Ovis aries: one gene and its partners. The protein of the gene in region 1 purifies or fractionates together with the protein of each later gene. This does not show direct contact. Links are inferred from orthologs where the notes say so. Each region holds a gene or a part of one and is shown in the gene's direction. Other genes may lie near its edges.

Region 1 (4,439 bases):
AAATTCCAAGGTGAGTGGGGGTGGGGTGGGGTATTCTCCCTGGAATAGGACATTTCCTGTCTCTGGTGAGGTTGGAGGCTGCTTTTATTTTAAATAAATCAGATTTTTTTTTTTCCTTGAAGCTAAAGGACTCCCGTCTGAATTCGTGGAAAAATTATTTTGAAACTCCTTACCTTACGTTCCCCACACTCCCACTCCCTCATCCAAATGAAGTATTTTGCTAAAAACATACAGACAGTTTTTTGGGTGGGCAGACCTATTGCTAGTAAGTTCTGGAGGTATGATTTACAACTATATATTCTTGGAATAATTCCCTAAATTTTGCTAGTTTGAAGTAAATTGATTAATGCAACTTTTTATGGTACTCAAAGACAAAATTCTGAGATTAGTAGTGACCTTTCCTGTTCCTGGGGTGGTCATCTGATCAGAAAGAAAATGTTTTTAGAATGCTGAAAAAAAGCTTTAAGGTTTACAGCAAAATAAAATGGAGTTCAGCTAAGAAAACAATCCCTGCTACTCTATAATCCAGACTCTAGGCACCATTTAACATGGTTAAGGAAGAATTCTTAAAAATGATTGTGCTGACAACAAGGAGGGAATTTAAAACACTAGAGTCTCTGCTGCATACCCCCTGGTTGTGCATGTTTCTGAGCTTAACTCAATTTCCATTTGTGTTGCCTTGCTTCAGCTTTCCTTGGGCCTATGAATGGTTCTTCTGTGTTTGGAGGCTTCATGTTGCTGTGAGTCTGGGACCAGACCTCTTGTTTTCCTCCTCCTCTTCCTTTGGCCCAAAGTCAGCTCCAGTTAAGAGGAGAGGTACCTCCTTAATATTTGGATTAGTTGAGCCTTAAGAATTACCGAACAGCCCAATGACTAGTTTTGATTTTTAGGACTAAAAAATATTTTTCTCCTCCATGCCTCCCTCCGATCCCCAAATGAAAGATGAGGCTTAATATATTTGAGGTGTCAGCCTTGCTTTTGTGAGCTGATGGGTGCTCTGAAGGGACAAGCTCAGTTTGTTGAAGGGAAATGTACCGAGTCACTGAAAATGTGGTGAAACATGCCCGAGCAGGCCTTTTTTGTCCTGTTAAGAGACTGTTCAGGATGCTCAGAGCAGAAGAAAGTTAGATTTTGCTGGCTTTTCTTTTTTTTCTCATTTTTATAGAAAATCTTATTTAAATGGAAGGTTTTCCATGTTTCTGTTCCAGTTTATGACTTGTAGACAGTCGTAGAGGTACCAGGAGTAAAATACCACCCTACTTGTTTTATAGACTCTGAAATTAGAGTTAGATAATTGTGCCCATCTAATAATTTTGATCTTGTGAGCTGAAGAGGAAGTTGTAATTAAGAAAGTGGGGACCTGCCCATTTTTGGTTACCTTCTTAGGACTCATCTGTAGAATGTTTCAAGACCCAAGAGAAAGGTACATGGCAGCTTTGTGTTATACCTGCTGCATCCCATTGAGAGACTGAACATTTTAACTGCTTGCATGGATTCTGACCATTTTTGTCCTTCCCATTTGCAGGAACCCGGTGGCCTTAGTCCTTCAGGTGAATCAGCGTGAGACATGGGAAAGAAAACCAAACGGACAGCTGACAGTTCTTCAGAAGATGAGGAGGAGTACGTTGTGGAGAAGGTGCTAGACAGGCGTGTGGTTAAGGGACAAGTGGAATATCTACTGAAGTGGAAAGGCTTTTCTGAGTAAGTACTTTCTCTCATGCTTTGGGACTCAGGGAAGTAGACAGCTTTGGTTCATTTCCCTGTGAACCATCACCATCTTTGTCATATTCTTTCCTCGCCTGCACTCCTTTCTAAGAGTCGCAAGACACAGCAGTGAACTAAGCAAAGTCTCCCCTTCTTGGAGCTGATGTTCTAATGAGACTGCTTTTGAGAGGCAGTGTAATGAACTGGTTAGAAGCATAGATTAGGGGCCAGATTGCCTGCGTCCAGATTCTTGCTCCCACCACTTACAGTATGAGCTGGGTGACCTTGCTGAAGTTCCTTAATCTTTCTTCCTCAATAAAATAGGGATAAGAAATAGTATATATCGTAGAGATGTTGGGGAGATGTATAGAGTCAGACACATAAGGTCAGTGTACGTGTAAACTGTTGTTGTTATTTTGGATGTAACGAAACTAAAATACATACATTTAAGTAGAAGTTGTAGTTGATCCCATAGCGCTCCATAACGACCCTTGGCCCTCAAAAGTGTCCTAGGATGAAACACTCATCTTTGTTATTTTTTTGTAACACTCATCCTAATAAGATAATAAGAGACTTAAATCTGAGACCCAATATTTATTTTTAAAAATGTAAAATATATATATATAACTGACGCAAAAGAAATTGAGTGAACACTCAAATACATACCACCTCATTTCTACAATAACATTTTAATATAATCTTTATTCCTCAATCTGTCTTTTTTACTATTAAAGACCTTAAAACCCCTCTTTTACGTCAGTGAGCTTTAAGAATGATACTGAAGTGTTGAGTATTCAGAGTTAGGCAGTAACTGGCTTTAAGTGCTGAAGTAAATATACACATACTGAAGCATAGAAGAGGTAGCTTGAAAAGTGAATTGCATGAAGCTGTGTAATCATTAGGCATTTTGCCTTAATTTCTCATTAATTCTCTTCCCAGGATGCCTGATAACAAAGAATGGATTTCTGTGAACACCAGTGAGCTGATAGGAACTGGTTTAGGCTCCTAGGAGTATTCAATAGGAATGGAATGCAAGCCAGATGTAATTTTAAATTTTATGGTGACTATATTAAGGAAAAGTGGAATTAATTTTAATAATATATTTTATTAGACACTCCCACCAAAATGCTATTTCAAAATTAATACAAAAATTATTAATGAAATTTTATATTTTCATGCTAAGAATTTAAAATCTGTTGTATATTTTTCATTTTGTAGCACATCTCAGTTCATGCTAGCCACATTTCAAATGTTCATTTACCATATGTGGCTAGTAGTTACCGTATTAAACATCGCAACTTAAAAGTGTGAGACTTTAATAAAAGATTGAATGCTTTGTCAGTCCCTTTGGACAAAGGTATGATCAGGAGCCTTTGGAGTATAGTTAAGGTTATTGTGGGAATCAAGTTTCTCATCTGGAGCATTGTTGGTGTTTTAGTTGGGACAGTTCATGCACTGCAGGATGCTTAGCATTTGTAGCACAGAGAGAACTAAATGTGGGTAGCACAGCAGTCAGAATGTGCCCTCCATGTTTCTAAAGAAGCATGGTATCGCAGCATCCTCTAGAGTTGAGCACTACGGATTTGAGAGGCCTAGAGCATCATGAGATAGGAATTAAAATACACCTTCAGGAAGGGGGCTTCCCTGGTGGTCCAGGGGTTGAGAATCTGCCTTGCAGTGGAGGGGGCACTGGTGTGATCCCTGGTCCAGAAAGATCCCACGTGCTTCGGAGCAACTAAGCCCTGGGTACCCCAGCTACTGAGCCAGCGGTTTAGAGCCTGTGCTCTGCAGCAGGAGAAGCCAACGCAATGAGAGACCTGCAGACCGCAACGAAGAGTAGCCCCTGCTTGCTGCTGCTAGAGAGAGCCTGAGTGTAACAGAGAAGATCCACCACAGCCAAAAATAAAATAAATCTTTAAAAAACAAAAGTACACCTGAAGACTTTAAGAATGTTTATTTGACCCATTGAATCATCACTGGAAATTGTTGGGTATTTTTGAAGAATTTGAAGACTGTGTAGTTGAGCTATTGATACCTTACATAGATAAAAGAGGTAAAGAAAAGATTTAGGGTAGATGGATTAACATTTGTCCTGAGTTTTTCAAAAGTATCCAGAGTTTCATTAAAGACTGAGACAGATTGTGCCCCTTCAACACTGTCCACAACTGAGTACCTACTGTTTGCTAGGCAGTGGTTATATCCTACCTCATGTGTTCTCTGTAATTCTCATAACAGCCTTTAGAGGTATTTACAGATGAGGAAATTGTTTACTAGAGATAACATACCTGATACATGCTAAAACAAGGATCCAGCATCACATTTCTTTGGTGCTAAAATGCAGATTCTTAAAAATAAATAAAACTAAATGCAGATTCTTTGTAAGTTATACCATGTTATCTTTTGGGTGAAAACTGATTGATGTAGAAACAATACTAACCTGGTGGGGAAAGGGATAATCCCCTTAGAAGATTGGCTTTCCTTGGTGGCAACAGAGATTCTTCTCCTACCTCTGCATCTTAGCTTGCTTACTGTACTACAGTGTTGGCATGCCTCTTGGTTTTTGTGCCTTAATTTCTCCTGGGATAGTAAACTATATATAATCTGTGAATTTGGGAGAAAGTTATTGTATGAGGATTTTTTTTTTTTTGGCTGAAAGAAGAGCTGTGAGGGAGAGGCTTTCCAGTTTTAGCTCAAATGATTTAGAAATAAACTTTGTTTCATTCTTAAGCTCTTTT
Region 2 (3,644 bases), on another chromosome or scaffold:
GAAAGGGCAGGTTTTACGTTATGTCTATGTGATTGTAATAAAAATCTCTCAAAGCCCATGCAATTCATTTAGGCCAAGTTGCAGTCTGGGCACAGGGGTCTCCCTACTTGGTAGCCAAAGAATTCTCTCCTCCCCTCCTTGAGCTTCTTTTTAGTTGTTCCTTTGTGTTGAGGTGGAGACTGCTTATAATGCGGTGTTTGCTGCTCCTGCAGTGCCTCCTCGCAGGGCTGGCTGTCGCTCCACCCTGCTGCTGGCCCAGGTTTCCCTATCCTCAGTTGGTGACACTTTTCCCCACACCGGCCAGCTGTGTTGCTTCACCTCCTGGTCACGTCCCGAGTCCCCACTACCTACACCTGGGACTGTGCCTCGAGAGCCCCTGGAGCAGTCTGCCCTGCCCTGGGCATCGCCCCATGAGGAATTGCCATCCCCTGCCCCAGATCATCAAGGTGATGCTGCTGCAGGGCTGCTGTGGCATGGAGTCCAGCAGGCCTCAGAGTCCCCCAGGCCACCTGCTGCTCTCTGGGGTCTCCTGCAGGCCACTCTCCACACAGCAGCTGAAGGAATCCCATCACACCCAGAATCAAACCCGACACAGCTCCATGACCCCTCCTTGAGGCCTCCCTGCTGCCTAAAACCTTCCTCATAAGACCCTTGAGACCCTCCCTCACTTTCTGTCTTTCCCTCCTTTTCCCCCCAACATCGCCAAGCGGGTTATTTTCTTCTCTGAAATCTAAACAGTTCATGCTTTTGGATCTTCACTTTCCCCAGCACAGGCTGCCCTAGGACCTGAGCCAGCCTGTTTCCCCTCCATGGATGCTAGGCGTGTTCTAGTCTCTTCCCTTCTGTCTTGATTTTCTTTTTGGTTATGTCAACTTTTACATGATTCGGAAAATGAAATTCTGGTCCACACACCTGGCAAGTTCTGGCCCTGTGCCATTCCTCACCTCAGTCCCGCCTACCCCATGTTGGACTAGTTCTGTGCATTTCTGCCCTCTGCTTCCTAAAGTCTCTGTTTCTCCCCTGGAGAATGGCCTACCGTGGACCCCTTCCTGGGGGTCCCACCCTGAGTTTCCCACCCTGGGGTTCAGGTTACCTGGCTCTCCGTGGTGTGCACATGTCAGTGTTGGCCCAATAGGTCTCGGGCGGTGGCTGTCTGGCTTGGCTGCAGTCTTGGGCCAGTAAAAAGAATGCTATCACCAATAGCATTGTGCTCAAATGCAGAATGTTGTTTTCTGTTTCTGTGGGTATGTGTTCTTGGTAGATTTCTAGAAGGGCTGGCCCTAGACGGCATTGACACCCTTGTTGGTACCTAAGGGGCATTCCTGGGGCACATGCTTCATGCCAAAGCTCACCGTAGTTACAGTATCCACAGATGCACATGAGGGCTCTGAAGAAGCCAGACTTGGCCATCAGGGCCCTGTTTTCCTGTGGCCTGGGACTGTCTGGGTTCCTGACACAGAGCTAAGCCTGGGCTTACCCTCGAGCTCTGCCGGAGACAGCCAGGATAGGTAGGAGGGCGAGGTGTGCCCTTTCCATGCCCCGTCTCCCTGGGCCCGACCTGTGAGTTCTGGTGCAAACTCACTTTTGGGGACTGAGCCATGTCATTCGAGTCTTGCGGCCAAGGCAGGCCTTGGTGCCTTGGTGGTGGTCTCCAGGGTATGGCCAGCAAGGGAAGTCACTTGGGGTGGGTTGTTGTGAGCCTCACGGGCCCCAGGAGGCTCTGGGGCTGAGATCTGGAACACAGATGAGTCTGGCTCTTTTCCAGGGTGAGTTTCTAAGAGAGGGCTTTGCAGGTGACTGGCTCTGAGCCCACAGTTCTGGTTTCCAGGCCTCCCTGGCCCAGGTGATGCTCTCACCCTGTTGGCCCAGCCACGAGAGCAGCATGGCCAGACTCTAATCCCAGAGTCTGGAGCCTCACAGTAACCACTGTCCAAGGAGATAGGAGGGGGTCCTACCGGGTGGGACCCATGCATACCGGAGGAACTGGTCTGTCAGCATGGAGGAATGGGGAGGCACCCGCCCTGGAATCAGGCACGTCCCAGTGCCAAAGCCCCGCGTGGTCAGGAGAGTCTGGTGAGAAAGACTCACCCAGCAGGGAATTGCTCCTCTTCTCACGTGAGAACCCTGGGCAGTAGTGTCTGGTTGCCCCATCCCACTGTTTAGACAATGCCTTTGTGACTCTTCTCTGTCTAGGGTGTTGGTACCCATTGTCAAGATAGGAGGAGACTGAGGCACAGGATGTTGAAGTCACTTGTGCAGATCCATGTTTGGAAATGGCAAAAAAAAAAAAAAAAATCACGATTTGGGCTCGGTGTGGCTTACTCCAAATCTGCAGGTTTTTCCTCAACACTGCACTCGGCACCACCTCCCCAGGGGCAGTGTTGGGCTCTTCCCATCACCAAGGTGTATTGTACGGTTTTCATTGAACACCCATTTGAGAAAACCCCAAACACAAAAGCTTAAAGTAACACTTATGCTTAAAAACACAAAAACTTAAAGTAACACTCCCTGGGGAAGAGGAGCCCCCTCAATTTTGGTGAGTAGGTCCCTCTCCAGCGGGTGAGAGAGCCTCTCATCATCCGTCCAACCCAGAGGCCCTAGCTCGTAACACCGAGAAGCCATCTTGGCAAGCCTGCTAGAGATGGGCCTCAGGGTGACCACAGTGTCGGTAGGGTGCTGTGGGCCATCACTGTCAGCAGCCCCAGGCTCTCAAGTCATCTGTGAAGGGGAAGGGCATTTCAATCTGGGGGACGCTAGTAGGACAGCCCCTCTCCTGGGGCCCTGCCCATGTCAGGGCACCCCAGACCTGCTGGCGCCCACTTTTTTCTGCACACCAGTTTGTTCCCTGTGATACTGACATCCTTGTTTAACACTCAGGGAAGAAAAGTCCGAAGAGCAGGATCTCCAGGGCCTGAAGGACAAACCTTTGAAGTTCAAAAAGGTGAAGAAGGATAAGAAAGAAGACAAAGAGGGCAAGCATGAGCCCCTGCAGCCAGCAGCCCACCACTCTGCCGAGCCAGCAGAGGCCGGCAAAGCAGAGACCTCAGAAGGGTCAGGCTCGGCCCCAGCCGTGCCAGAAGCTTCTGCGTCCCCCAAGCAGCGGCGCTCCATCATTCGTGATCGGGGCCCCATGTACGATGACCCCACTCTGCCGGAAGGTTGGACCCGAAAGCTTAAGCAAAGGAAATCTGGCCGCTCCGCTGGGAAGTATGATGTGTACTTGATCAAGTAAGTGAGGGTGATTCCTGTCTCTCCAGAGCAGGGAAGGCTAGTGGTGGTGGTTGGGAAAGAGTCAGGGATCACCACTAAGAAACTTTTGGGGACCCCTTGGAGTGTTAGCTCCTTGCGGCTCATGGATCAAGAAAGTGTGTGTGCGTAACCCACTTCCGGTCGGGTCTTCAGTAGTGACCACTGCTGGTGGGTCTGATCAGGTATGCTTGGAATGACCACCTGGGGAGGTCACTGCCCTGAGGGAGATGTCCATCAGGGCCTTGTCTGGAGGAAGAATAGCACTGGGGACACAGAGTTCTGCCATTCATACTCTGCTGATGATTTCCCAGCAGAGGGGCTGTCCTCAGGACCTGGGAACCTCTTCTTTGTGGGAGAGTCCTTCTGTGCCAATACTTCATGAGCCCTGAGAAATA
Region 3 (3,644 bases), on another chromosome or scaffold:
GTGCAGGGCTTTCGCCGGCGAGGTGGCAAAGCGGGCGGCTTCGGTGGCCGGGGAGGGGGCCATGCAGCCAAGGCCGCCCGGTGCTCCTTCAGTGACTTCTTTGAGGGCATTGGCAAGAAGAAGAAGGTGGTGGCCGTGGCAGCCGCAGGGGTCGGGGGCCCCGGCCTCACTGAGCTGGGGCACCCGCGCAAGCGAGGCCGGGGGGAGGTGGATGCGGTGACTGGGAAGCCGAAACGCAAGAGGCGGTCCCGGAAGAACGGGACTCTGTTCCCAGAGCAGGTGCCCAGCGGCCCCGGCTTTGGGGAGGCAGGCACTGAGTGGGCTGGGGACAAGGGTGGCGGCTGGGCCCCTCACCACGGGCACCCAGGTGGGCAGGCTGGCCGAAACTGTGGGTTCCAGGGGACCGAGGCCCGGGCCTTTGCCTCCACTGGGCTAGAGAGCGGGGCTTCAGGCCGTGGCAGCTACTACAGCGCAGCCGCGCCCACGGGCCAGGCGGAGCTCAGCCAGGAGCGCCAAAACCTCTTCACCGGCTATTTCCGCTCCCTGCTCGATTCCGACGACTCCTCCGACCTCTTGGACTTTGCCCTCTCGGCCTCTCGGCCAGAGTCCCGGAAGGCATCAGGCACCTACGCAGGGCCTCCCACCAGTGCCCTGCCTGCCCAGCGGGGCCTGGCCACCTTCCCCAGCCGGGGAGCCAAGGCCAGCCCAGTGGCCGTGGGCAGTGGCGGGGCTGGGGCTGAGCCCTCCTTCCAGCCGGTGCTGCCCGCTCGCCAGACTTTCCCACCCGGCCGGGCAGCGAGCTATGGGCTCACCCCGGCTACTTCAGACTGCCGGGCTGCAGAGACCTTCCCCAAGCTGGTACCCCCACCTTCCGCTGTGGCCCGCTCACCTACCACCCACCCGCCCACCAACACCTACCCCCCACAGTACGGCGGCTATGGGGCCGGACAAAGTGTATTTGCCCCGGCTAAGCCCTTCACTGGCCAGGACTGCGCTAACAGCAAGGACTGCAGCTTTGCGTACGGCAGCGGCAACAGCCTACCTGCCTCACCCAGCAGCGCCCACAGCGCCGGTTACGCCCCACCGCCCACTGGTGGCCCCTGCCTGCCACCAAGCAAGGCCTCCTTCTTCAACAGCTCCGAGGGGGCCCCCTTCTCTGGTTCAGCCCCCACACCTCTGCGCTGTGACAGCCGGGCCAGCACAGTCTCGCCCGGTGGCTACATGGTGCCCAAGGGCACCACGGCCTCTGCCACCTCCGCTGCCTCCTCGTCGTCCTCGTCCTTCCAGCCCTCGCCTGAGAACTGTCGGCAGTTTGCGGGGGCTTCTCAGTGGCCTTTCCGGCAGGGCTACGGAGGCCTGGACTGGGCCTCGGAGGCCTTCAGTCAGCTCTACAATCCTGGCTTCGACTGCCACGTCAGCGAGCCCAACGTGATCCTGGACATCTCCAACTACACCCCGCAGAAGGTGAAGCAGCAGACGGCCGTGTCCGAGACCTTCTCCGAGTCCTCCTCTGACAGCACCCAATTCAATCAGCCGGTCGGCGGCGGTTTCCGGCGTGCCAACAGCGAGGCCTCGAGCAGCGAGGGCCAGTCGAGCCTGTCCAGCCTGGAGAAACTGATGATGGACTGGAATGAGGCCTCGTCCGCCCCCGGTTACAACTGGAACCAGAGCGTCCTCTTCCAGAGCAGCTCCAAGCCGGGCCGTGGACGGCGGAAGAAGGTGGACCTGTTTGAGGCCTCGCATCTGGGCTTCCCGTCGTCTGCCTCGGCCACTGCCTCAGGCTACCCGTCCAAACGGAGCACCGGGCCCCGGCAGCCTCGGGGTGGCCGGGGAGGTGGCGCCTGCTCTGCCAAGAAGGAGCGGGGTGGGGCGGCGGCCAAAGCCAAGTTCATCCCCAAGCCGCAGCCCGTCAACCCCCTGTTCCAGGACAGCCCGGACCTCGGCCTGGACTACTACAGCGGGGACAGCAGCATGTCCCCGCTGCCCTCCCAGTCGAGGGCCTTCAGTGTGGGCGAGCGCGACCCCTGTGACTTCATGGGACCCTACTCCATGAACCCATCCACGCCGTCCGACGGCACGTTCAGCCAAGGCTTCCACTGCGACTCACCTAGCCTGGGGCCCCCTGAGCTGGATGGCAAGCATTTCCCGCCGTTGGCCCATCCACCCACGGTGTTTGACGCAGGCCTGCAGAAGGCGTACTCGCCTACCTGCTCACCCACCCTGGGCTTCAAGGAAGAGCTGCGGCCGCCGCCCACAAAGCTGGCTGCCTGTGAGCCCCTCAAGCATGGGCTTCAGGGGGCCAGCCTGGGCCACGCGGCTGCAGCTCAGGCCCACCTGAGCTGCCGGGACCTGCCGCTGGGCCAGCCTCACTATGACTCCCCCAGCTGCAAGGGTACGGCGTATTGGTACCCGCCAGGCTCAGCTGCCCGCAGCCCACCCTACGAAAGCAAGGTGGGTTCGGGGCTGCTGGCTGACTTCCTGGGCAGGACGGAGGCTGCGTGCCTCAGTGCCCCACACCTGGCTAGCCCACCGGCCACACCCAAGGCCGACAAGGAGCCGCTGGAGATGGCCCGGCCGCCCGGCCCACCCCGTGGCCCCGCTGCAGCCGCTGCTGCCTATGGCTGCCCACTTCTTAGTGACTTGACCCTGTCCCCCGTGCCGAGGGACTCGCTGCTGCCCCTGCAGGATACCGCCTACAGGTATCCAGGCTTTATGCCGCAGGCGCATCCCGGCCTGGGTGGGGGCCCCAAGAGCGGCTTCCTGGGGCCCATGGCGGAGCCTCACCCTGAGGACACATTCACCGTCACCTCCCTGTAGTGCCAACTGAAGTGCCGACTGGACCTCGAGGTTTTGTTCCTGGGTGAGTCTGAGGATGTGGGTGCAGTGGGCAGAAGAAGCCTGGGGGCTGGGGCTGGGGAGCGTGAAGACATTAGAGCTTGGGCAGGGGGCAGAAGGATGGCCACGAGCCAGAAGGACTGGAGGGCAAGACTGGGGACCCAACAACAGAGCAGGGAGTTGGGATTCAAGGGGTCTGGCATTAGCTGTTGGAAACAGTCTTAGGGAGGAGGTGAGTGCTTGGGTGGGGAACCCAGCCTGGGGCTTAGACATTCAGGGGTCCCATTTTTTAAATGGCTGGAGGACCGTAGACTGAGTAGGGCAGTCTGGTTTGGTTCATCAGGTGTCCATTCTCCTTAGCCACGCTCGGTCCTGAGCAGGGACCACCTGAGTCCCAGCACACACTTATCACTTGACCTCTTGTAAGGGAGGGTGTTTGCATCACTGCATAAGACAGATGAAGGAAGAAGCAGGTTGGATAATTACCCACAAAGGCCCATCTAGGATACTGATCCTGCCCGCTTCCTTGTCTCCCTGGGAACTTCATTTAATTCAAGATGCAGTCTGACAAAGGCCAGGCTGAGGGTGTGGCTAGGATGTCCTTTTCTGGCCTCGCAGGGTACCTCAAAGGCTATTATTCCACAGGGGTATTTGGGATTTCAGTGTCTGGGAACCTCCAGCCAATGGGTCTGTCCCCAGGTAGGATGTTGCCTACCTAAAAAACCCCAGGCCCTTTCCTGAAACCAAATTCATTCCTTAAGAATTCAGTTAAGTATTGTTAGGTATTTCGATATTGTTTTATCAGGTAC

What was found.
Region 2: the proteins of CBX5 (region 1) and MECP2 purify together in Homo sapiens (affinity purification with western blotting; 3 studies listed by BioGRID, with this or other methods). This does not show direct contact. The link is inferred for Ovis aries from reciprocal best matches to the Homo sapiens genes CBX5 and MECP2.
Region 3: the proteins of CBX5 (region 1) and AHDC1 purify together in Homo sapiens (affinity purification with mass spectrometry; 3 studies listed by BioGRID and IntAct, with this or other methods). This does not show direct contact. The link is inferred for Ovis aries from reciprocal best matches to the Homo sapiens genes CBX5 and AHDC1.

Annotation. Positions count from the first base shown.
Region 1 is NC_056056.1:132,284,932-132,289,370, forward strand, and holds the start of CBX5 (chromobox protein homolog 5), read left to right. Parts: upstream 1-1,567; coding exon 1,568-1,701; intron 1,702-4,439. UniProt on the Homo sapiens protein: Component of heterochromatin that recognizes and binds histone H3 tails methylated at 'Lys-9' (H3K9me), leading to epigenetic repression. In contrast, it is excluded from chromatin when 'Tyr-41' of histone H3 is phosphorylated (H3Y41ph).
Region 2 is NC_056080.1:80,263,876-80,267,519, forward strand, and holds part of MECP2 (methyl-CpG-binding protein 2), read left to right. Parts: intron 1-2,877; coding exon 2,878-3,228; intron 3,229-3,644. UniProt on the Homo sapiens protein: Chromosomal protein that binds to methylated DNA. It can bind specifically to a single methyl-CpG pair. It is not influenced by sequences flanking the methyl-CpGs.
Region 3 is NC_056055.1:239,497,013-239,500,656, forward strand, and holds part of AHDC1 (transcription factor Gibbin), read left to right. Parts: coding exon 1-2,817; 3' UTR 2,818-2,860; intron 2,861-3,644. UniProt on the Homo sapiens protein: Transcription factor required for the proper patterning of the epidermis, which plays a key role in early epithelial morphogenesis. Directly binds promoter and enhancer regions and acts by maintaining local enhancer-promoter chromatin architecture.